3 linked regions of the Stegostoma tigrinum genome follow. The protein of the gene in region 1 interacts with the protein of each later gene in a biochemical or structural test. Links are inferred from orthologs where the notes say so. Each region holds a gene or a part of one and is shown in the gene's direction. Other genes may lie near its edges.

The links. The genes of interacting proteins can lie anywhere in the genome.
Region 2: the proteins of rab31 (region 1) and eea1 form a complex in vitro, tested with the Homo sapiens proteins (2 studies listed by BioGRID). The link is inferred for Stegostoma tigrinum from reciprocal best matches to the Homo sapiens genes RAB31 and EEA1.
Region 3: the proteins of rab31 (region 1) and ocrl form a complex in vitro, tested with the Homo sapiens proteins (2 studies listed by BioGRID and IntAct, with this or other methods). The link is inferred for Stegostoma tigrinum from reciprocal best matches to the Homo sapiens genes RAB31 and OCRL.

Annotation. Positions count from the first base shown.
Region 1 is NC_081358.1:114,882,603-114,890,387, forward strand, and holds the start of rab31 (ras-related protein Rab-31), read left to right. Parts: upstream 1-4,768; 5' UTR 4,769-5,067; coding exon 5,068-5,103; intron 5,104-7,785. UniProt on the Homo sapiens protein: The small GTPases Rab are key regulators of intracellular membrane trafficking, from the formation of transport vesicles to their fusion with membranes.
Region 2 is NC_081378.1:49,458,733-49,466,600, reverse strand, and holds the start of eea1 (early endosome antigen 1), read left to right. Parts: upstream 1-4,859; 5' UTR 4,860-4,961; coding exon 4,962-4,985; intron 4,986-7,868. UniProt on the Homo sapiens protein: Binds phospholipid vesicles containing phosphatidylinositol 3-phosphate and participates in endosomal trafficking.
Region 3 is NC_081368.1:44,350,994-44,358,656, reverse strand, and holds the start of ocrl (inositol polyphosphate 5-phosphatase OCRL), read left to right. Parts: upstream 1-4,654; 5' UTR 4,655-4,760; coding exon 4,761-4,802; intron 4,803-4,865; exon of another isoform or gene 4,866-5,022; intron 5,023-7,663. UniProt on the Homo sapiens protein: Catalyzes the hydrolysis of the 5-position phosphate of phosphatidylinositol 4,5-bisphosphate (PtdIns(4,5)P2) and phosphatidylinositol-3,4,5-bisphosphate (PtdIns(3,4,5)P3), with the greatest catalytic activity towards PtdIns(4,5)P2.

The DNA of each region.
Region 1 (7,785 bases):
CAGAAAGCAAGTTTGTTTTTCTTTCTGCAGTTGCTGTAATCTGTGACTTCTAATTAGTAAATCAGAGACCTTTGTACATGTGATGCAGTCACTCCGTATCTTCTGATCAGCCCAAGAACCATCTCAGCGAACCTTGTGAACAAAGACCATTAAACTACCTTCCCAGTCATTCCCACAACCCATAACACCCGCTTCTTTTTCCTCTCTTTATAACTGTCAGTATGTGTGTGTAGATGGCAAGTTTTTATGGGGATTAGAGTTCCAAATAGTAGAATTATGTACTAATAGTTCATCATTTGTTACTGATGACACGAAAATAGGTGGAAAAACAAGGTGCAAGTTGGGGTGGCACGGTGGCTCAGTGCTGCCTCACAGCACCAGGGACCCACATTCAATTCCAGCCTCAGGCAACTTTCTGTTGGGAGTTTGCACATTCTCCCTGTATCTGTGTGGGTTTGCTGCAGTTTTCTCCCACAGTCCACAGTGGTGCAGGTTAGGTGGATTGGCCACACTAAATTCCCCACAGTGTTCTGGGAAAAGTAGATTAGGTGGGTTACGGGGTAAGGCTCTGGGTGGGATGCTCCTAGTGTCAGTGTGGACTTGATGGTCCAAAGGGCCTGTTTCCACACTATAGGGATTCTATGATTCTAAGAATTAAGAAGTTTACATATGGATCTAGATAGGTAGGTGAAGGGGGCAGAACTTGGCAGATGGAATTTAACGTGGATAAATATGACGTTGTCCAATTTGTTTGAAAGAATAAAAAGGCAACTTATCAACTAACTGTACTGAAAATTCAAAATACTTTAGCGCAAAGGAATCTTGGTATCATCATGCATAAATTATAGATATTGTTTATGCAGGTCCAGCAATTAATAAGGAAAGCAAACAGAAGTTTAGCATTTATTGCTAAAGGAGTAGCGTATAAAAGTAGTGAAGTGTTTCTGAAACTGTACAAGGCATTAGTGAGACCACGCCTGGAGTACTGTGTGTAGTTTTAGATCCCTTACCTGAGAAAGGATATAATTGCATTTGAGGCAGTCCAGAGAAGGCTCTCTAGATTAATTCTAGAAATGGAAGGCTTGTTTTATGAGGGAGAGATTGAGCCGTTTAAGCCTATGCCGGCTAGAGTTTAGAAGAATGGGAGGAAATCTTATTGAGGAATATATGATGCTCAAGGGAATTAAAGTGGAGAGAGTTGTTCCCCTTGTGGGACAATCTAGAACAAAACACGATAATTTTAGGCTCTGGGGTCGCAGATTTAAAACAGAGATTAAGAAGAAATAGTTTTCCCAAGAGGTCATGGATTTGTAGAATTCATCATCCTAGAGTATGGTGGATAATGGGCCACTGGGTAAATTAAAGAAGGGGATGGAGAGATTTTTACATAATCACAGGTTACGGGTTTCAGGGGAGACAGCAGGAAAGTGGGATTGAAGCCAAGATTAGATCAGCCATGACTGTTTTCAATGGCAGAGCAGGCTAGATGGGCTGAATTGCCTGCTCCTGCTCTGAGTTCTTATGTTCTACTGTGCTTGAAATAAATATTAATTTTTGTTAAATACAACAATCTGGTCCATGATTTCTATCAATCCTGGTTATGCAAGTCAGATACATTGGAGGATTCTGTGTACATTTTCAAGTATTAACTTTTATGACATCTCTAGAAATTGTGGGGCTTGATTCCCAGAGCACTATCCCAGTGAGATAGACCAAAGCTGCTGGAGTGCTCCAAAATGAAGTACATGACAGTATTGTATGTGGATTCGAGATGTGCCATGGCAGTGCAGTCAGGCTGGTGTGTGCCCAATGTTTCATTCCCTCTCATGAATGTTTCTGTTGTGTGGATCTATGAGGTCCAGACAAGACAGCAGATTCTGGAATTGGAAGCCAATGTGATCGACATGCATGGAATGTCCCAGCAGCTGCATTTGAACCCTGGCCTGATGCCAATAACCATGGATGGGGTCAGTGTTAAAGATGGAGACCTGGAGTTGCCAGGCACCCGACTGTCACATTGGGAATTATTGCTATCTCGATTCTATCCTGCAGTTGGAGAGCTGCTTTTAATAAGGCAGGTGTAGGTAATAATAAAATGTCAATTTATGCAAATACGCTTTTCACTACTCATGTGCAGGATGCTCATCTTGCAAAACAATAACCTGTTTGCTTGGACGGAGAATGGGAATTATTGCTGTCAATACCAGAATCTCCTTCTTGCTGATTGCACCTGATTTTCTCAACTTTCTTGCTAATGCCCATGTTGTTCAGTGACTGGGAAGATTCTGTCCAAAGAGGTTGCCTAAAGATATAGTAAGGGTAAGTTGCATGTGGTGGATGTATTAGAGTATGAGGTTATTCACCTTTGTTCTCTGTATTGAAGAACTGAATATCTTTAAAAGGTATGACATTTAGAAATGCTGATGTTCTGAAAGACTTAGGAAGCTTACACAATAAACATGCAAAGTTAGTGTGCAGGTACAGCCAACGATTAGAAAAGCAAATGGCATTCTGTTCTTTATTGCAAGGGGATTGGAGTTACCAGAAGAAATAATTCTTGTTCAAATTGTACAGGACTTTGGCAAGAATGAAAGAAGGCAAACTATTCAAATTGAATACAAATGATTTATTTATTTATTTGATGGGACAGCACACTTAAAATTTAAGAGATAAGTTTCCTTTGATCAGCCATAAATTGAAAGAACTGAACAACATAAATTGAGGCGATTCACGCTATTTTCAGAAACAAGACCATAAGAACAGGGCTTTTCAGCCCCTCAAGTCGGCTCCATCATTCAGTAGGATCTTTGATGATTCAATGTTCCTCACATTCACTTTCCTGAATTTTCCCCATAACCCTTGATTCTCCTACTGATCAAGGATATATCTATCCCAGCCTAAAATACACAGGACTCTGCACCCACACATCTCTTTGGCAAGGAGTTCCAAAAACTCACAACCCACTGAGAGAATAAATTTCTCTTCATGTCAGTCTGAAATTGGCACCCCTTAATTCTGAAAATGTACCCTTGACTCTTCTAAAAGGGTTAATACCCTCTCAGCATTTATCCTGTCAAGACCCTTAAAAATGTTAAATGTCTCAATGAGATTACCGCTCATTCCTCTAAACTCCAGTGAGTAGAGTTCCAATCTCTTTAGTCTTCACTCATAAGACAATCCTTCCATACCGGGGATTACCTAAGTGAACCTGCTCTGAACTGTTTCCCTTGAAATGTATCTTTTTTTAAATGAGGGGGTCAAAATTACTCACAATACTTCAAATGTGACAGCCTAGCCTGGAACTAGGGAAACTTCAAATGCCACCAAAACTGGGCTTTATGTAGATGTGTCATAACTTTTTTGGTTTTGTACTCTGTACCTCTATTGATATAACTCAGGATTCTTTTTGTGTTCCTAACTTTCCCTGCCTTCTTCATTGATTCGAAACTCCCAGGGCCCTCTACCCCCGTATTCCCTTTATAATTATTCATTTCTCCCTGTTTTCTTCTACCAAAATGAATCATGCACACAGAACTTGGGAAGTCTGCCAGGGGGTTTTGGAATAGTTAAGTCTATGTAACAAATCCTTGCGTGGACAAGGGTTTTAGTTCCAAACAAGTCAGATGAGGGTGGAATTGATTAATGTTACAGAAGTCAAAATTAGCCATTGTAGAGGTTGCACAAGAGTGAATGATAAAGTTTAGGTACAGATCAGCCATAATTTAATTAAACATTGGAAAACCAAAGCCATTGACTTCAGATCCTCTGAAGTCAGCCATTCCCCAACTACTGACGTCATCCTTTCCATGGCAATTGTGAGAGAAAGAGCTGAACCATTTTGCTACCTTGGTGACACACTGGATTCTGTGCTAAACTTCTGATCCCTTTTCCTCACCATCATCAAGATCACTAATGTCGACCCACGGAAGATTGTCCATCTCTGCACTGCCACAGCACATCTGTTGCTGAAACTCTCTTCATTATTACCTCTAGCTTTGACTATTGTAACAGTCTCTCAGTAGATCTTCCACACCCTGCACTCCATAAACGTGAGCATTTCCAAAATTCTGATGCCCTCATAACAAGTCACTTTTATCCATTTGACTCTTGCTCCATAACAGCATGACTTTAAAAATCCCTTCTTTTCTAATGTTTCCTAATTCCTCTTGTGTCTTACCCCTTTGGATCTTGATAACCTCCTTTGGGACAGTTTACCTTCTAGATTTATGAGCTCCTTCAAATCAGTGTCTTATGCATCCTCACTTTCCAATAGTTCAATATTGGTGAGCATCTGATCATCAGCTTCAATCCTAAGCTTTGGAATTCCATCCCTAAAATTCTCTGTCTTTTCCATGAACTAACCCCTTGTGTCCTTTCCATTTGACCAAACTTTTCTTCATTTGTTCCAAGATTTCCCCTTATGGCTTGGTGTCAAGTTGTGTTTGCTAGCACTCCTGTGAAACGCCCAGCAATTTTACACAGGTACAATATGAATATAAGTTGTTATTTGCTGGAGTGATATAATTCCAGATAATTGTGTCAATGTTCCCTGTGAAGAAAGTGAATACAACCTTTTAGCTGCATTCTTATCATGTTTGGAATTTTTAAATTTTTCTCTTACATCATGGTTTTCAACAAAAATAATTAACTTTAATAGCTGTGAGAACTGGAAATGGTTAACATGCGGATAAGAATTTGATATTCTGTTCTTTAAGTGCAGTACAGCGAGAATATTCTGCTGTGTCCCAGCAGCTAGGCACAGTGAAGATACTGTGCTAGAGATAATGGGAACTGCAGACGCTGGAGACACTTTGTTATCTCGAAGATACTGTGCTGTAAGCGGAGTGAGGATATCCTGCTCTTCAAGTGACTTTGGGAGAGGATTGTGAGGAGGGCTGTGGAAGAAGTTTGAGTGTCACGTGATGAGCCAGAGCTGAGAGTTGTTGCAGAAGTTTCTGTTCATTTGGAGGGGAGCTGGTTGCTTGCAGCGTTATAGGAGGTAACGGGCGAACAGCGAACTGGGTCAACCCAGCCTGCAAATAGCATGACACAACCCTTCAACTGATTATGGCTATTCGAGAATTAAAAGTCTGTCTCCTTGGGGTGAGTAAGATAGCCTGAGTTCATTTCCCATTTGAGTTCTGTGCACACCTCAAACAAAAAAAAGCCTGTTACTTCTCTTGGTGTCTAGCTGCTGGGACACTGTGGATTTCTGTGCGTCTGTGTGTGTGTGTGTGTGTGGTTGAGTTGATATCTCTGCCGTTTCTCGCTGTTTCGTGTCTATCTGTGGCCGTCTTTTTTACCCTGTTGGAGACTGGACTTCTTCCGAAGTCTCAGACACTGAAGCTTCTCTCCCCGTTGGCCCCCATCCTGCAATTGGAGCGTCTGCACTCGGGCGATTTGTTGGAATGCTGCGTGTCTCCAAGGAGGAATTCCACATCCACAGTTCCTGCAGCATGACAGCAGCTCGCCTTACCCCCAGATTCTTTCCCTTCATTATTTAAATTAAAAAAATAACTTGAAGGCAATTTAATACAATTCCGGAGCGTAGGATACTCACTTTTGAAACAAACTTCCCCTTTTGTTATGTTACCAGATCAGAAATCTGCTGCCGTTCTGAAATGGCTGTGGAGCTGCAAAGTGGGATTCTGCAAGTCTCGATCGTGCAAAAGTAGGAGGAATTGAAATCATTTTGGGCACTTTGGTGAGAGTGCAGGGAACTAGTCCATGCTGATGGGGTTCACGGTACATGAACCGCGAGAGGGTTTCTGACTGGTCCTTGTATTTCCAATGAAGTCACTGCCAAATGTCTGTTTTTGCTAAAAGGACAAACTGGTTTAATTGCATCTGAGTAATTATTCCGTTTGACTTCGCTTTGTATTGCGTTGGCAAATGGTTGCCCAATGCAGATGTTCACTGTGTGAGCATTGACTCCCTATGAAGCGACCCCCGCCAATCCCAGTCCCTCTCCCTGTCTCAATATCCCTACAAATGCACATCCCCGGGCAGTTATCCAAATTCTTTTTGAAATGTTTGATCTTTTTTGCTCCCACCGCACTGTGTGGGTAGAACGTTCCAGGTCAATCCCACTCACTGGATAATTATGAAGAGGTAACAAAAACAGAATTGTTGGAGAAACTCGGCAGTGTCTGTGCGGAGAAAGCGGAGTTAGGGTTTCATTTCTGGTGACTCTTCTTCAGAAATGGATTCTCTGCTTGTGATACTCTCCCATTTCTGAACAAGGATCACTGGACTTGTAACGTTAACTGTGCTTTCTCTTTTAGCACGAGCTATCAGACCCGCTGAATTTCTCCAGCAATTTCTGTTTTTGTTCCAGATTTCCAACTTTTCCAACATTCGCAGTTCTTGGTCTTAAATTATGAAGAGGTGAAAAGTCGCCTTGTTTTTTTTTGAAGATATTTACTTTTTATATATTTTTAAAAATAAAACCTCATTAATCTGCATACCACTTATCCAATGGAATGATTATCCTGTTAATGTACAGAAAGTTTTCCCTGCAAGTACACCTGACCACATTGTGGTCACAGTCAAGTAAGCTCACTTTTTTAATTGTCCTGGAATCCAGATCTGTGGAAGGTTCAAGGTGAAGATCAATTTGGAGCTGGCTGGAAAAATCAAAATGAGGATATAATATCCAGCTCCAAGCTTCAGCTTCAATACCAGGTTCCCCAGCTAAAATGAGCTACCTTACACTGTCAAAGAACATTTAGTTTCAGGTAAAATGTAGTCAATAATTTCTGTTTTCTTCCACATTAAAAAAAAACTTCAGCCGTTATCAATTTAGATTCACTGTGAGCCATTGAGTTGAATGATGGAAGGGTTGAATGTTTAAATCCTGTGTTTCAATGTAATGCACGCATGGCAAAAATCAATTTTAAAAGTGGAGCAGACCATGCTTTCCCTTTAGCTGTGGCATGGTAATGCGCCCCATCACTTGCTTGTTATGATGGTAATAAGCCACGTTGCCTGCAAAGTGATATTCTCTTGGACTTCAGCAGCTCCTCTTCCAAGTCATTGATAAAATGGCTGGGGATGGTGGTCCTCACAATTGCTTTCAGTCCTTCTTTTGGGAAGGTATCTGTTCTGAGCCATATGTATATGACCATTGTTCTTTTCATTTGTTTTTAAATCATGGAGGTCCTGTAGAGGTGTAGGTACGCCCACACTGCTGGTTGCGAGGGAACTCAGGATTTTGACCCAAAGACATAGAAGGAAAGGTGATATATTTTCAAGCCAGGGAGCCCGTGACTGGGAGGAGAATTCACGGGGTATGCTTCCTATGCACCTGCTGACTTTGTTATTCTAGGTGATAAGAGTTTTTGGGTTTTTATTGAAGGCATTGGTGAGTTATTTTTATTCATTCATAGGATGTGGGGGCTGCTGGCTGGGCCAGTATTATTGTCAACTCCAGGTTCCCCTTGAGAAGGTGGTGCTGAGCTGCTTTCTTGACTTGCTTCAGTCCATTTGGTGCAGATAGAACCCCAATTTTACTAGGGAGAGAGCTCCTAGATATTGATCCAGTGACACTGAAGGAATGATGATATATTTCCAGATCAGGATGGTAAGTGACTTGGAGAGGACCTTGCAGATGTTGGTGTTGCCATGTATCTGCTGCCCTTGTCCTTCTTGATGTAGTGGTTGTAGGTTTGGAGGGCATATTGTAAGTAGCCTTGGTGACTCTCTGCAGTGCCCCTTGTAGATGGTACACACTGCTGCTACTGTGACAATATTGGAGGAAAGAAAGTCATTGGGCAGCGTGCCAAT
Region 2 (7,868 bases), on another chromosome or scaffold:
CTAGCCTTCATTAATAACGGGACAGAGTCCAAGAGCAGGGAGGTAGTGTTGAACATGTTCAGGCACAAGTTAGATTTCAGTTGGAATAAAAGTGCTACACTTCAGGAATTTTTTGAGAGAGCACAGAGAAGTTTACAAGAATAGTTCCAGGGATGACACATTTCAGCTGTGAGGGTAGATTGGAGAAATTCATAGATTCATAGAGCACAGAAAAGGCCCTTCGGCCCATCGATCCTGCACCAACGTAACTACCCTCAGTGGTTAGCACTGCAGCCTCACAGTGCTGGGGACCTGAGTTTGACTCCAGCCTCGGGTGACTGTCTGTGTGGAGTTTGCACATTCTCACTGTGTCTGTGTGGGTTTCCTTCGGGTGCTCCGGTTTCCTCCCACAGTCCAAAGGTGTGCAAGTTAGGTGGACTGGCCGTGCTAAATTGCCCATGGTGTTCAGGAATGCATAGGTTAGTTGGGTTATGAGGGATGGATCTGTGTGGGATGTTCTGAGGGGTGGTGTGGACTTGTTGGGCCGAAGGGCCTGTTACCACACTGTAGGGATTCTATGATGCTATGACATTGGGACTGTCTTCCTTTGAGAGGAGAATTGATTGTAATTTTCAAAATCATAAGAGATCTGGATGGCACAGAGAGCAAATCTATTCCTGCTTTCAAAAGGGTGAAGAACGGGAGGGCACAGTTTTAAAGCAATTTGCAAAAGGGGTAAGTATGACGAGAGTAGTTTTCACCCTCCAAGTGATTAGGGTCGGGAATGTACCTCCTGGAAACGTGATGGAGGCAGGTTCAATGGAGGTATTGAGATCACAAAGTGCAGAGCTGGATGAACACATAGTCCAAGCAGCATCAGAGGAGCAGGAAACTGACGTTTCGGGCCTAGACCCTTCTTCAGATATTGTTTCTATTTAGATAATCATCAATATGTGGGGTTACAGGGGAAATTCAAGAGAATGGTACTAGATCATGACACTCATTAAGAGAACTGGAATAAACACAATGGGCTGAATGGCTTTTTCTGTCATTCTGTGTGGTTTATTTCAGCAAAATAAAGAAAACAAACTAGGAAGGATCACTTGGTAGAGTGAAGAACATTATAATATATTTAATATTTTGACAAGAAATAGTATTACTGGTATTCAGTTTTGATTTTAGAAAATGGTATAGAAAAGGTATTTGTTATAAATAGCATTAGTTGGATTTAGTCATGGGACTTTTGAGCAAAGCAGAAATACAAGAAAACATCTGCAGATGGTCACCATAAAACAACTATAATGCCTTGGTCATACACTCAAGAGACGGAAACTAAAACACCTGGTGCTAATGGGTAAGATTGAGGGTAGCAGAAAAAGAGGAAATAAAGGGGAAATACCCTGACAATTTAAGAAACAAAACAGCTACATGATTTGAGAGAGATAGTAGGAACTGCTGATGCTGGAGAATCTGAGATAACACTGTGTGAAGCTGGATGAACACAGTAGGCCAAGGAACATCAGAGAAGCAGGAAGGCTGACGTTTTGGGCCTAGACCCCCCCCCAGGATCTGTGTGAGCTTGCACTGAGGATTACTAGAACAGTGGGCTCAAGACGGAAATGTTGGTGTGGGAACACAGTGGTGTGGTGAAGTCACAGCTAACTGGAAGCTCGGGGTCATTTTTGAAAACAGAGCTTGGGTGTCCTGCAAAGCAGTCACCCAGTCTGTATTTCATCTCCCCAGTGTCGAGGAGACCACATTGTGGGCAGGGACTACAGTAGATGTGTTTGAGGCCGTGGATAGTGAGGAGGGAGGTGAGCAGGTAGGTGTAACACCTTCAGCGTTTGCATAGGATGGTGCTGTGGGAGAGTGGGGAGGTGTTGGGAATGGGCGAGGAGTGGGCCAAGGTGTCCCAGAGGGAACAGAATGCTGACAAAGGGTGGGGAGAGGAACATGTGCCTGTTTGCGGCATCCCGCTAGAGGTGACGGAGTTGGCGACTTACAATCCTTTAGATTCAGAGGCTTGGTGGTGTTGTAAGTGAGGACTGTGGGATCCTATCGTTGATGTGGGAGGGAAGGGAAGGGGTAAAGGCAGATGGGCCAGACATGGCTAAGGGTCTTTCAACCACAGTAGCGGGGAATCCTCAGTTGAGGAAAAAGCTGGAAATTTCCTGGGCTCCCTGAGGAAAGTGGCATCGTCAGAACAGACACAACAGTGATGGAGAAACTGGGAGAATGCGATCAAGTTTTTACTAGAAGCAAGGTGCGAGAATGTACAGTCCAGGTAACCAGGCAAGTTGGTGGGTTTCTAGCAGATGTCAGTGGCCAGCCTATTTCCCCAGAAATAGAAACAGGACATTAATGAAAGGAAGGGAGGAGTCAGAGATGGCCCAGATGAGGGTGAGGGTAGGGTGGAAATTGGAAGTGAAATTGATCTTTTTTTCCCAGATCAGGACAAGGGAGGGAGGCAGCACAGATTAGATTAGATTCCCTACAGTGTGGAAACAGGCCCTTCGGCCCAACAAGTCCTCACCCCCCCGGGAGCATCCCACCCAGAGCCATCCCCCTACAACCCACACACCCCTGAACACTACAGGCAATTTAGCATGGCTGATCTACCTAGCCTGCACATCTTTGGACTGTGGGAGGAAACCGGAGCACCTGGAGGAAACCCACACAGACATGGGGAGAATGTGCAAACTCCACACAGACAGTTACCCAAGGGTGGAATCGAACCTGGGTCCCTGGCGCTGTGAGCCTGCAGTGCTAACCACTGAGCCACCATGCCGCCCCAGGTGTCATTGATGTCGTTGATGTACTAGAGAAAGAATTGTGGGGAAGAGTCTAAAAATTGATAGACAGCCTGCTTGATAGACAGCATAATGTTTACCTGGAAAACTGGGTTTTCAGTACGTTAAAAGTAAAGGAGAAAAATTTTGGTTCTATAATTTAAAGTAAAGGCAGTGTTCAGTCATTGTTACTTTTAGTTAATTTGTTACAATAAATCTCAAAAATACAATCTCCTCATGTTGGCCTTTCATCTGTTAACTGGAAGTTCAAATTTCTTTTGTAAGAAGGTCAAGTGAGGTGGGAGAAGCGGATAGGTGGGAGAGAAGATGGACAGGTTGTGTCAGGTCAAGGAGGCTGGATGAGAGGGAGGGTTGGTCATGGGATGAGGCCGGACTTGGGGAGATTTTAAAACTGGCAAGGTCCACGTTTAGGCCATTGGGCTGTAGGCTCCCGAGGCGGAATATGAGGTGCTGCTCCTCCAGTTTCTGGGTGGCGTCATTGTGACACTGGAGGAGACCCAGGATGGACACGTCACCCAGGGAGTAGGAGGGGGAGTTGGAATGGTTCGGGACTGGAAAGCGTTGTCATTTGTCGTGAATCAAGTGTAGGCACAGTACAAAGCGATCTCCGAGCCTCTGCTTGGTCTCACCGATGTAGAGGAGGCCACATCAGGAGCAGTGGATGCAATAGACCACATTGACGGATGTGCAGGTGAATCTCTGTCTGATGTGAAAGGTTTGTTGGGTGCCTTGGATGAGGGGGGAGGTGTAAGGGCAGGTGTAGCACATCCTGCAGTTGCAGGGAGAGGTGCTGAGGGCTGTGGGGCTGGTGGGATTAGTGGGGAGTGTGGATCGGACGAGGGAGTCACCGAGAGAGCAGACCCTAAGGGAGGCAGATGGGGATGGGAAGGAAATATATTGTTGGTTGTGGGTTCAGATTGTAGGTGGTGGAAGTGGCGGAGAATGATATATTGGATACGCAGGTTGGTGGGGTGATATGTTAGGACAAGGGGAATTCTGTCTTTGTTTTTGTTGGGGGGGAGGGGTTGTGAGGGCAGAAGTGCGGGAAACACAAGAGATGCAGTGGAGAGCATTTTTGACCACTAAAGGGGTGAAGTTGTGGTCCTTGAAATAAGAGGACACCTGGGATGTTTGGGAGTGGAACACCTAATCTTGGGAGCTGATGCGGCGAAGGCGGAGGAATTAGGACTAGGGGATAACATTCTTGCAGGAATGTGGGTGAGAGGAGGTGTTGTCTAGGTAGCTGTGGGAGTTGGTGGGCTTGAAATAGATGTCAGTTTTGAGGCGGTCAGCAGAGATGGAGGCAGAGAGATCTAGGAAGGAGAGAGAGGTATGGCACTAACCCCCACCTCTTCCTATGCTACCCCGGTGACACCTCCCCCAACCCCTGGCCCTACCCTACGGGCAGCTCCATCAACCCCTGGCCCTACCCCGGTGACACCCCCCCAACCCCTGGCCCTACCCTGCCGGCACATCCCCCGACCCCACCCCGGGGGCACCTCCCCAAACCCCTGGCCCTACCCTGGGTCACCTCCCCCAACCCCTGGTCCTACCCTGAGGACACCTCCCCAAACCCCTGGCCCTACCCCGGGGACACCTCCCCAAACCCCTGGCCCTACCCTGCGGGCACCTCCCCCAACCCTACCCCAGGGGCACCTCCCCCAACCCCCGGCCCTACCCCAGGGGCACTTCCCCCAACCCCTAACCCGGTGACACCTCCCCCAACCACTGGCCCTACCCTGCGGGCACCTCCCCCAACCCCTGGTCCTACCCTGAGGACACCTCCCCAAACCCCTGGCCCTACCCTGCGGGCACCTCCTCCAACCCTACCCCAGGGGCACCTCCCCCAACCTTCGGCCCTACCCTGCGGGCACCTCCCCCAACCCCCAACCCCTGGCCCTACCCCGGGGGCACCTCCCCCACCCCCTGGCCCTAACCCGGTGACACCCACCCCCAACCACTGGCCCTACCTTGCGGGCACCTCCCCCAACCCCACCCCGGGGGCACCTCCCCCATCCCCTCGGCCAGGGGGCGTTAGTGCTCAGGCCCCTCCCTTTCTGGGTGGGGCTAACACAGCCGGCTGCTGGCTCTGGCAGGACAAGGAGGAGGCGGCGGCCCAGGCTCTGCTCAACGTGTCCCCGGCTCCGTCTGTCTCTCGGGCAGGACCAGGCCATGTTCCGCCGGATTTTGCAGCGGGTGAGTCTGAGGGATACGGGCTGGGATCCCGGCCCCGGCAGGCAGGCCCTGGGTACTCCTCCCCATCCTGCAGGAGCCAAGGCCTGAGTGCGGCCTGCGGCAGCATCGAGCCCCACCCGGGACGGGGCACGGACCACCCCCACCCCGACACACACACACCCCGTTCTCATCTCACACCCACCACCCTCACCCCGTCTGTCACTGTTCTCCCTACCCTCAACCCCCAGCCACCTCCCCACCTTTGACACCATCCATTTTGGGGTGGGGTCGCATAGCTCTGTGTTTGTGTCTAAGGGTTTTTCTGGGTGAGTGGGTGGTGTTGGTCGAGGGGCTGTTGTGGGTGGGCAGTATGTCTGAGGCGGGCAGCTATTTGGGGTGGTTCAGGGTCACTGGGAGGATTGGTTGGGTTGTGATCTTGTGTGAGTCTGTGTGTTCCTGAATGTGGGAATGGGGTTGGGTGTGTCTGGGAATAAATCTAATTGAAACTGTGTCAGAAAACAGGCTTTGTCTCCTTTCATCAACTATCCTTCCCAATTCACTCTGAAGTTAGTGGATTATCATTAATACTGGGCAGGGTTGTAAATCCCGATCCCATAAGCCATCCATCTGCTGAACGGGGTTAAAACTGCATTCTGTGCCCTGGTGTATTTTCTGTATTTCCTTGTTTTAAAGGTTGTGTTAGATTTCTTGTGCAATGTTATTTTTGTCTGTTGTCAGTTTTCTGTGTTTGACAGTTCTGTTGCTGTCTGGTGTGTTAGACATATTCCAGAAGAATGAGACTGGCTTCCTACAGTGGCTTGATGTTATTTTGGGACCTGAGACACATGCTTCCAGGAGTGTGGTATTAGCAGAGAATATATTCTCTAAAAGAAGCTCATTTGTTATGGCACCTACACTCAGGTCCTGCTCGGTGTCCGTCTCTGCTCTCACCGTTATTGGTCTCTCTGCAGATCATAACAAATGTCTCCCAGAATGTTTCTATTCAGTCGCTTTATTTCACATTTGCTCAACACATGGCAAATTATTTACCAGCCAATTCCTGGTGCCTCTTTACCTTGTGTGTGATATAGGTGAGTGGTAAGCATCTTGATTCTGGGTCATGTTATAGACCCAATACTAAAGCTGAGATAAAGAAACTTGGCTACCAGTGCATTACTGGGACTAGACATGCCTTGGCAGAGGGTCACAACTGAGGGGTGGAGATTTGGAGGGGGTTTTGCTTTGGCTTTTTGTCTAAGTGTTAGGGGTGTTGTGGGACACTATCCTGGGGGGAGTTGTTGTGCTGATACTCTGCCCTGTTTGGCCCAACCATCTTCAGCTGCTTCCTCAATGACCTTACGTCCATCATAACATTAGAAGTGGCGATGTTTGCTGATAATTGCACATTATTCAGCACTATTTGCAACTCCTCAGATACTGAGGCAGTCTATGTTCAACAGGATCTGGACAATATCCAGCCTTGGGCAAAACAAAAAGGTGGCAAGTAACTTTCATACCATGCAATTGTCGGGCAATGACCATTACCAATAAGAGACAATCCACCCACTTTCCCTTGACATTCAATGGTGTTACCATCAGTGAATCATCCGCTCTTCACGTCCTGGGAATTACGATTGATCGGAAACTCAATTGGACTTGCCATATAAATACAGAACAAGTCAGAGGCTGGAAATACTGCAATAAGTAACTCACCTCCTGAATCCCCAAAGCCTAACCGCCATCCACAAGGCATGTGTCAGGAGTGTGATGGAATACTCCCCACTTGCCTGGATTAGTGCAGCTCCAACAACACTCAAGAAGTTTGACACCATCCAGGATAAAGCATTTCCACAATATGACAAAATTGTTACAGCGCACGAGGAGCCCATTTAGCCTATTGTGCCTGGCCTGGTTTTGTTACCTATTGCCTGACTCTTCTCCATATCCCTGCACACCATTTACATCTCAGTAATCATCTAATGACTTTTAGAATGCCTCTATTGAACCTGCCTCCATCACATTTCCTGGTAATGCATTCCATACTCTAACTGCTTGCCCCCAAAAAAGTTCTGTCACATCATCCTTGCTTCATTTGTGCATCCTTTTATATCTAGTTCCTCGCAATTTTTTTTAGCAGGAATAGCTTCTCCTGGTCTACTCTGTCTAGTCCTTTCATGGTTTTGAGGACCTACATCAGAAATCCTCTTTGCTGCCTTCTCTCAAAGGAGACCAATCCCAACTTCTTCAATCTATCCTAATAACTGTAGTTTCTCATCCCTGGATCCATGCTTGTAAATAATCTATGTCCTACCTGCAGTGCATTCACATCTTTCTTATAATGTCCCTACAACTGTACACAGAATTCTGGATGAGGTCTATTATGTGTCTTGTGCAATTTCAACATTACCTCCCTGTTTTTGTACTGTATGCCGCTATTAGTATAGCTGACCGCAGAGCTTTATTAACTGCAATCTCCAAATGGCCTGCCACTCTCATTGATCTTTTGATAGATGTGTATGGGTCCCTTTGCTTATCCACTCTTTTAGGATTGTATTGTTTTTTACTGTTTTAGAATGTTCTTCTGACCAAATCTTTGAATATTCTACTGAACAAAAACACTTTTGTCCACTTTTTTGGACAGAAGCAGTTCTAACAACACACGGAAAGCACAGCAACAGTCAGGAACAAATTGCATGCTGACTGTACTTCACCCACTTTAAAGGCACTCCTCTGTCTGGTGGTAGCATTGTACTTGTTAGGGCTCCTTCACCTGCTAGCCTGCAACCTTAGGCCCTGAGAAGGTACTAAATTAGATTACTTCTGAGGAAGGGTTGCAAGACCCGAAACATTAACTGAATTTTTCTTGACAGATGCTGCCAGACCTGTTGAGCCTTTCCAGCAATT
Region 3 (7,663 bases), on another chromosome or scaffold:
GACTTTATTTTACCCAGTGCTCGACTGGTCATGGTGAAGATTGATAGTAGCAGAGGTCAAATGTTGGATAAACACTAGTAACCTTGTCCCAAGCCCCACATCACCCACAAAATTGCATAATTGCAAACAAAATAGGCTTCTACCATTCTTACCTTTCAGTTGGAGAGGTAACCAGTTTGTGTGGCCCTCTATCCTGTAGGAAGTCTTGAATTAACTGTGTGTGATGTGGCCCACTGGTGTCTCATTTAAGGTCACCTGTGGTTACTTCTGCTTCACAGAGTTTTCTGTCTGCAATTTGCAAGGACTAATGACATGGACGACATTGTCTTTGATCAGTATTTGAACTGTTAAAGCCCATCCCTGGCATATCGGACTGGATTGGAGCCTGCATTCTTGGCTAAAAAATGACGCGCTCAGCCCAAGCTTGGTGCAGCAGAATGTGGAAGCAAATGCAGGTCAAGCTGGACACTGTCAGTACCAGGCTTGGTCTGGTAGTCAGATTCACCCGCTTGACCAAACCTCCACATCTCTTTCTGCCTAGTGTTCCCTGGATAGTGTTTCTTCACAAAACCCTGGGCAAAAAAAACTGAAAGAACTGTAGATTGTGGAAATCTGAAACAAAATCAGAAATTGCTGGAAAAGGGTAATTGGATATGAAACTTTAACTCTGATTTCACTTCACAGATGCTGCCAGACATGCTGAGATTTTCCAGTAGTTTCTGACTTTGTTTCACAGAACCTCACCTGTGCTCAACCACCACATTAAACTGAATTTTCACATATCCATCTTACCACCTGGACCCTGTTACTATACCTTGGTGATGACCACCATCTTGCAAATGAAGTTGCAATGATGATTGTATCCTATCATTCCTCCTCCCGTAGCATCCCATGCTCTCTCATGCATTACCAGCTCTCCTCTTACATACTGAGATCCCCTCCATCCCCATCCATGTGCCCTCCACATCCCTGGCTACAGCCCACAATCCCTGCATTAATCCCTTACATCTCCCTCACTCCTCAGCCTATGCAGAGATGGATCACTTGACCATTACTGGTTCATCTGGATGTCTGGCTGTTGCTAAGCTCATGCTCTGTAAGACTGCACTTGACCATCTGCACTAGGACCCCCAAATGCTAGCAGCATCTCTTGATTCCCCTCAGGACTATTCCCCTTCAACTTTGAGACGTGACCATTTGGTTATAGAGATGCAGAACGTTTGCCATGCAGGAAGCTGGCACATTCTCCAGGTGTGAGTTTGATTTTGATCTGATTTATTGTTGTCACATGTCGTATCTGTTCACCCCCGACTGTTGACAAGGGTGACAAATTGCCTGGCTTTGTTTCTACAATCAAGTGCAAAACAATACAGAAGTACTGTGAGACTTTACATTGTTGTTCTTCAAGGGCAACATGTTGAAGACAAAACAAGGTAAGATGGGAATACCGTGAGCATCCAGGTAGTTGCTAAGCAAGCAAGTGCTAAGAGATGATGTGGCACCCCTGAGATGCAGCCTGGTCCAGTTTGCGAGATGGGTGCCTGTTCATGTGAGCTGTGACCTGTCAGTGATATTGCAATGAGAGCTGCAAGTGTGGCTTAAAGTGCAACATCACAGCACAGAGTCACATTGTAAGTGGATTAGGATGTATCAAAGGATGTGGACAGGTTGGCTATTGCCCCACCAACCCCCACCCTGCAAGCATCTGTGGATGTGGGTGGGAAAAGCAACTGCTCTGGGGCCTGTCTGAAATGTTGATGCTGGGTGTCCAGGTTGGCTGTCTGGAGGAACAATCGTGTTTACCAGGTGCACATTCTGACTTTTATTTTGTGAATTCTTGGCATTGAGAATTTGTATCATTCCTATCAGTTGCTTGGTAGCATAGGAACTTGCATATTAGTGTCAATGAGGGCAATATTAAGCAAAAAGCCCTATCGATAGGCATTTCACCGCTCCCTAACAACAATCTTGTCTCAATACCTGGCACGCTGTTGAAAATGTAATTTCATGCTCCCAATATTGAGAAAAGCCCCATTGGACTTCTCACTGAATTCTCTGAGATTCCTTGTCACTTCCCAAGTTGTTCAGGATCCAGTAGGATTCTGCCCGTAAAAACTAAAAAAAATTGTGACAGACGCTGTTACATGTAACAAGTCTGATATTGTTCAATTAACATGTGAACCAATTTCAGCACACAGCGAGGAACTTCCCCACATTCATGTTAGTTATAAATATTGCAAACCCAAACACCAGTAAATAGTTACTCATACATTCTTCTTTTACACTGCACCTGTTGGTGCATCATAGTTTCTCACGCCATTCTGTGCCTGAGAAATACATGCAGCTCCTTTGAATTTCTATGCCTCTGTCTTTAAGCTTTGCCGAATTTAAACATTCACATGTTGCTTTAAGGCTTGTTTGTTATTTCTCAATTGGGAATGAATTTAGGCGAAGAAATCTTCCATCCTTAGCAGGCTTAGACTACATGTAATTCCAGAAATGTAGCTTATCTTAACCAGCCCTCTAAATGGCCAAGAAAGCCTTTTGATTCAAAGACAGTTTGGGATGGACAATCAATGCTAGCTTTGTCAGTGATGCCAACATCCCACGATAACAAAAATAACAAAAAGACCAGCTTTCCTACAATTGGGAGTAATTTTGTAATTGTCTAACATAGAAATAAACAATAAGGTATATCTTATTTATGCATTAGAGGTCAATTATTTTCAATGTGTTATAGTGCACAGTTAATTCTTGTTTAGTATGGTTAACATAGAACAGTACAGCACAGAACAGGCCCTTCAGCCCACAATGTTGTGCCGACAAATCTCAGAAAGTTTATTAACTGCTTTTACTTATTTTAACTCATATTTAAGGAATATTTATGTGGTGCAGAACATTTGCACATGATTCATACTCTGCCAGGATGACAGCTGCACTATTGCAAATGAACATTGTGTTACAAAAGGAAAAATACTATATTGAAACACACTTTTTGTAATCTTTTGTCTTTGTTAAAGCCGCTCAATTTGTAATGCATGTATGCTCTTCTGGTGCACAGTTGTATGAACAAACTCTGTTTTCTTTTCATGGATGTACCTATTTTTGTACTCATTTTGTACGCTGTGTTTGTACAACCATTGCCCATTAAGGTTAGTAAGTTTTCCAACATTGTTTTATTGCCAAATGTCAGAACTGAATGATCTCATACACTAATTCTTCCCTCTTAAATCCCTGGTCTAATTTGGCACTTGTCAGAAAGAGTTAATTCAAAACATTGAGCTTTCCTCATGTTGAAGATGTAGGGTACTGTACTAAAATCTGATTTATCACTTGAATCATAGAATGCCTACAATGTGGAAGAAAGCCATTCGGCCCATCAAGTCCACACCAACCCTCCGAAGAACAGCCCACCTGGACCAAACCCCCTACCCTACCCTGTAACCCTGCATTTCCCATGGTCAATCCACCTAACCTGCACATCTTTGGATTTATTATATCTCTTCACTGGCTCCCAGGCTGTTTGTACTTTTTCCTGCCAAAATGTGCCAGTGTTAATATTTGCACACAATGTGTGAGGTTATGATCGTTGTCCACTGTTGTTTGATGCTGCAGTTCCTCAACTTCTAGTTCTTCTTCAGTCCTGCATTCATCACTACTGACACATGATGTAGGAGGGAAGGTCACGTGCTGGGAAAGTCAACGTGGACTCTTGTGGTCTGATAGCAGAACTGACTTCACATTGCATGTAGTTTATGGCGTTGATCATATGGTTCTTTGCTGCTGTTTTGCAGCTGTAACCATGAATGGGTTTATTTGAAGACACAAGCTTTCAGAATCTGGCTCCTTCCTCAGGTGTCAGTGAGAGGTGCCATCAGACACAATTTATAAGCAAAAGATCAAAGGGTCATAGAACTGATGCAAATGTGTTGAACAAACCTAAGATGGCTGTTAAATCTTCAATCGGTTAGAAAGGATTAATATGCAAATTCCAGAATGTCTTCCAAGTCACTGCCCTGAGATAACTAAGGGTTTTACCAGTATATCGGAGATGACATCTCAGGTCAGACAATGCATTTTAAGTGAGGGGGCCTTGTTTCGAATGACGCTGTGCATCAACACGGAGTTGGACTGGGAGCATGATGCCAAAAGCTGTGTCTTCAAATAAATTTGCTGGACTGTAGTGCCATACGATCTTTGACCTTGTCCACCCAAGTCCAACACTGGCACCTTCATGTATGTGGGTGGAGTGTCCCTGGAAAAGGATCATGAGTTCTGCCCGGCGTGCCTATGCTTCCGTGACTAGAGGGTACCTTAGGGACTACAGTGTACAGTAAATTCAGAAATTGTTGTGGTTTGTTTTATGGTTTGGTTTTTGATTATATTTTAGTGTTGCCCTGCGGTGCAATTAATATCAGAGCTGTCCTCAGAAAAAAAATGCTAGCTATGAGAATGAGAAACGCAATATATTTTGCAGCGTTTTTCAATGTACGTTGTTGCTTATTTCGAGAGATATTAAAATATGCTATAATTAAATTGTGGTGCGCTACCTCTGTAATGTTCAGGAGTGCATTAGCTCATGTAGGAAGGTAGCGCTCCACCCTCCAGGTCAGAAGGTGGCGCCGCTCTTGGCCTGCCCAGTGGGAGGATCGAACTCGTTGGCGTTGGCTGACTGACTGAAGCAATGTCGCCGAGGTGAAGGTACCGAGCTGTGGTCCGAATTGCGTGGCGGGTAGGGGAACTGTACGCCGGGAAACCTTATGGAGAAGCCGGCACCGAGAGGAAAAGGGAAGCCCGTGATAATATCCTTTAACATGGGGCAGATGAGCAAATTAGCGACTGGGTGTAACATAGGGCCGGGATCCTGGCAACTGAGGAACACAACAGAAACGAGCTGGGGCCCGGCCGGCTCAAAGAGCGGAGGCAGCGCTGGGCCCAGCCTGAATCTTCCTACCAGCAGCCCACTCATCGGTCCAGTGCACTTCTTCCACCACTGCAACCTGCCCACCACCTCTTAACCCTGTAAGATAGACAGTGGTTGCTGATCCGTGAAGTTTTTTTTAATTCGAGACTCTTTGGAGATTTTATCCTGAACGCATTGTGTTAGTTGTTAGAAACACTGTACTTCCAGAGTTTGCAGGAATGGTTTGTTTTGTTGCTGAGTTGGTGCTCTGCAATCTACCCTTTTGTGGTTTTGCTCTGCAGTGCTGATGCACGAGATCATTAGTTTGTGACGAAGACACTTCGTTGTCGTTTGTAAGCTTGCATATTTATTTCAAAGCTCTGCAGTTTTTGCGAAAGGCTTGTATTAATATAGTGTTGATATATGCATAGGTTAGTTAGGAATCTACATATGGTGTTAACCACGCCCACCCCCCACCCCATTGAATCCGAATGGCTCGCCTCTTGAGAGGACCAAAATGAACGGTGGTGGGCCGTTGCACTATGAGGTGCATCAGAGCTGAGCCTCATCCCAATTCCAACTCGTGTCAGTGTTTTTGATGGAATCATAACATAGCAAACGAGAGTAGGATTTCTGTTGTTTTCCTCTTTCAGCTTTTTTTATTCATTAACGTTGTGAATGTTGCTGGGTAGGCCAGCATTTATTGCCCATCTATTTTGCCCACGAAGCAGTTAAAATTCCAACACTTAGCTGTGGCTTTGGGGATGCGTGTAGTGTGCAGTGTCCTTCCTTAATGGACTTTAATGAACCTTATGGGTTTTTCCAACCATCAATAATAGTTTCATGAGTATCATTAGACTCTTAATTCCATTTTTTTCAGTTGCATGTGAGATCCCCGGGATATTACTTGGCTCTCCGGATTAATCCTGTGTCAAAGACACCACAAGACCATGACCTCCCCTTAAACAGAATTGTTTAAATTATTTGTTGTTCGTTCCAAGGTGTTAAAGCCAGTTGTAACTCTAGTTACCACTCATTTTGGATTGTCTAACCAAGCATGCACAGGCCTACTGATTTATGTAGCTTAACATAATCTCACATTGTGATCAATTGTTATGAAAATGAACTTGAATGTGTGATGATAACATTCTGACATTCTGATGCGGATAACAAATCGGACTATGAATTTATGGATTTGTTTCAGTCAGAATGTTGAAAATAAAAGTTTCTGAAATCATTACTCCAATACTACGATTGTTGCTACATTTACCACATTCCAAGCAGACCATTAGAAAGAAACAACTGGTTGTGGTTTAACCTAAGAGTCGTTGGGCGTCAGATGAGGGAAGAAGTTAAGGGGAGCCTTTCGTAGTAACCTCAGTTGGTGCAGGAATTGAACCCACATTTTTTGGTGTTAACTCTGTTTTGCAAACCAGTTGTCCAGCCAACTGGGCTAATCAACTTTATTTTTTTCTAAGACCCCTGTAGATTCCATTTCTCATCAGGCGTAAGTCTTCTTTACGCAACATGATTGCATTAGAAAGCCACATCAATAAGCCTTCAATTTGTACATAATGGTTCTGAAACCTCTTGGGTGTTTCGCTATTTTGACTTGCTGGAAGTATAGTAAAAGCTATCCAAACTGATCTCTCAGATCAGAAATGTAAATGACAAAAATAGGGGAAGGAAATTGAAGGAAAGAGTTTTTGGGATATATTCTGGAGTTATTCAAAACTCTAAAGGATACATGTTCAGGGAACTGCATTGTTAATAATTCTGAAGTCATAAATTTGATCATTAGGTTCAGTTTTCACTTTGTAAGAGAAGTCAGAACAGTTTGCGTTTAGCTATGTTATATATGATTTGGTGACTAGCTAGAATATGTTGTCCATGGAAAGTGGAAAATGGCAATAAATTTAGGATGATGGATATGGAGAAAAAGGGTTAAGGACTATGATCATCTATGTAAAAATCAAAAGAACTGCAGATGCTGTAAATCAGAAACAAGAGCAAAACTTCTGGAAATGCTCGGCAGGTCTGGCACATCTCTGAAGAGAAATCAGAGTAACATTGTGAATCTGGTGATTCTTACTCAGAACATTCTGAGGAACCTTCACCAGACCGAAACGTTAACTCTGATTTCTCTGAAGAGATGCTACCAGACCTGCTGAGCTTTTCCAGCAACTCCTGTTTTTGTTTCTGTTCATCGTGATGTTTTGAGCTTTGGTTCATTTGGATGGTCTGTAATTCTCTCTTTCAGATCTTGTTTGTGACAGTTTTTTTCTATTCAGTTCTCTATGTCATTCGTAAAATGCTGTAATCACGGCCAGGCATCTATTCAATTTTTGTTTGTAATTTCCGTGACCTTCTTTCATTTTTCTACTTCAGTCAAACCATTTTTGACTAAAATTCACTACACTTAATACTTGGTAAATCTTGCACCTCTAAGAGTAGCATTAATATTTTGCAAGTGGAGTGAGCATTTTTGTAATATACATCATGCTGTATGAAATACTTACTGAGTTAAAATCCAGGAGCTCCCTTCCAGTCAGCACTGTACATGGTCCGATGAGTGGTTCAAGAAAGCAGCTCACCACCACATCACCAAAAGCTATACAGAATAGGCAATAAATGTGGGCCTAGTAAGTGATGTCTGTATCCCACAAATGTATTATAAAAGTTGGATTGATAATATATTGTGAACCTGTTTACTGGCCTGTACAGATGTGGTTACAGTGATGATGCTGTCCCCTCTGAAGT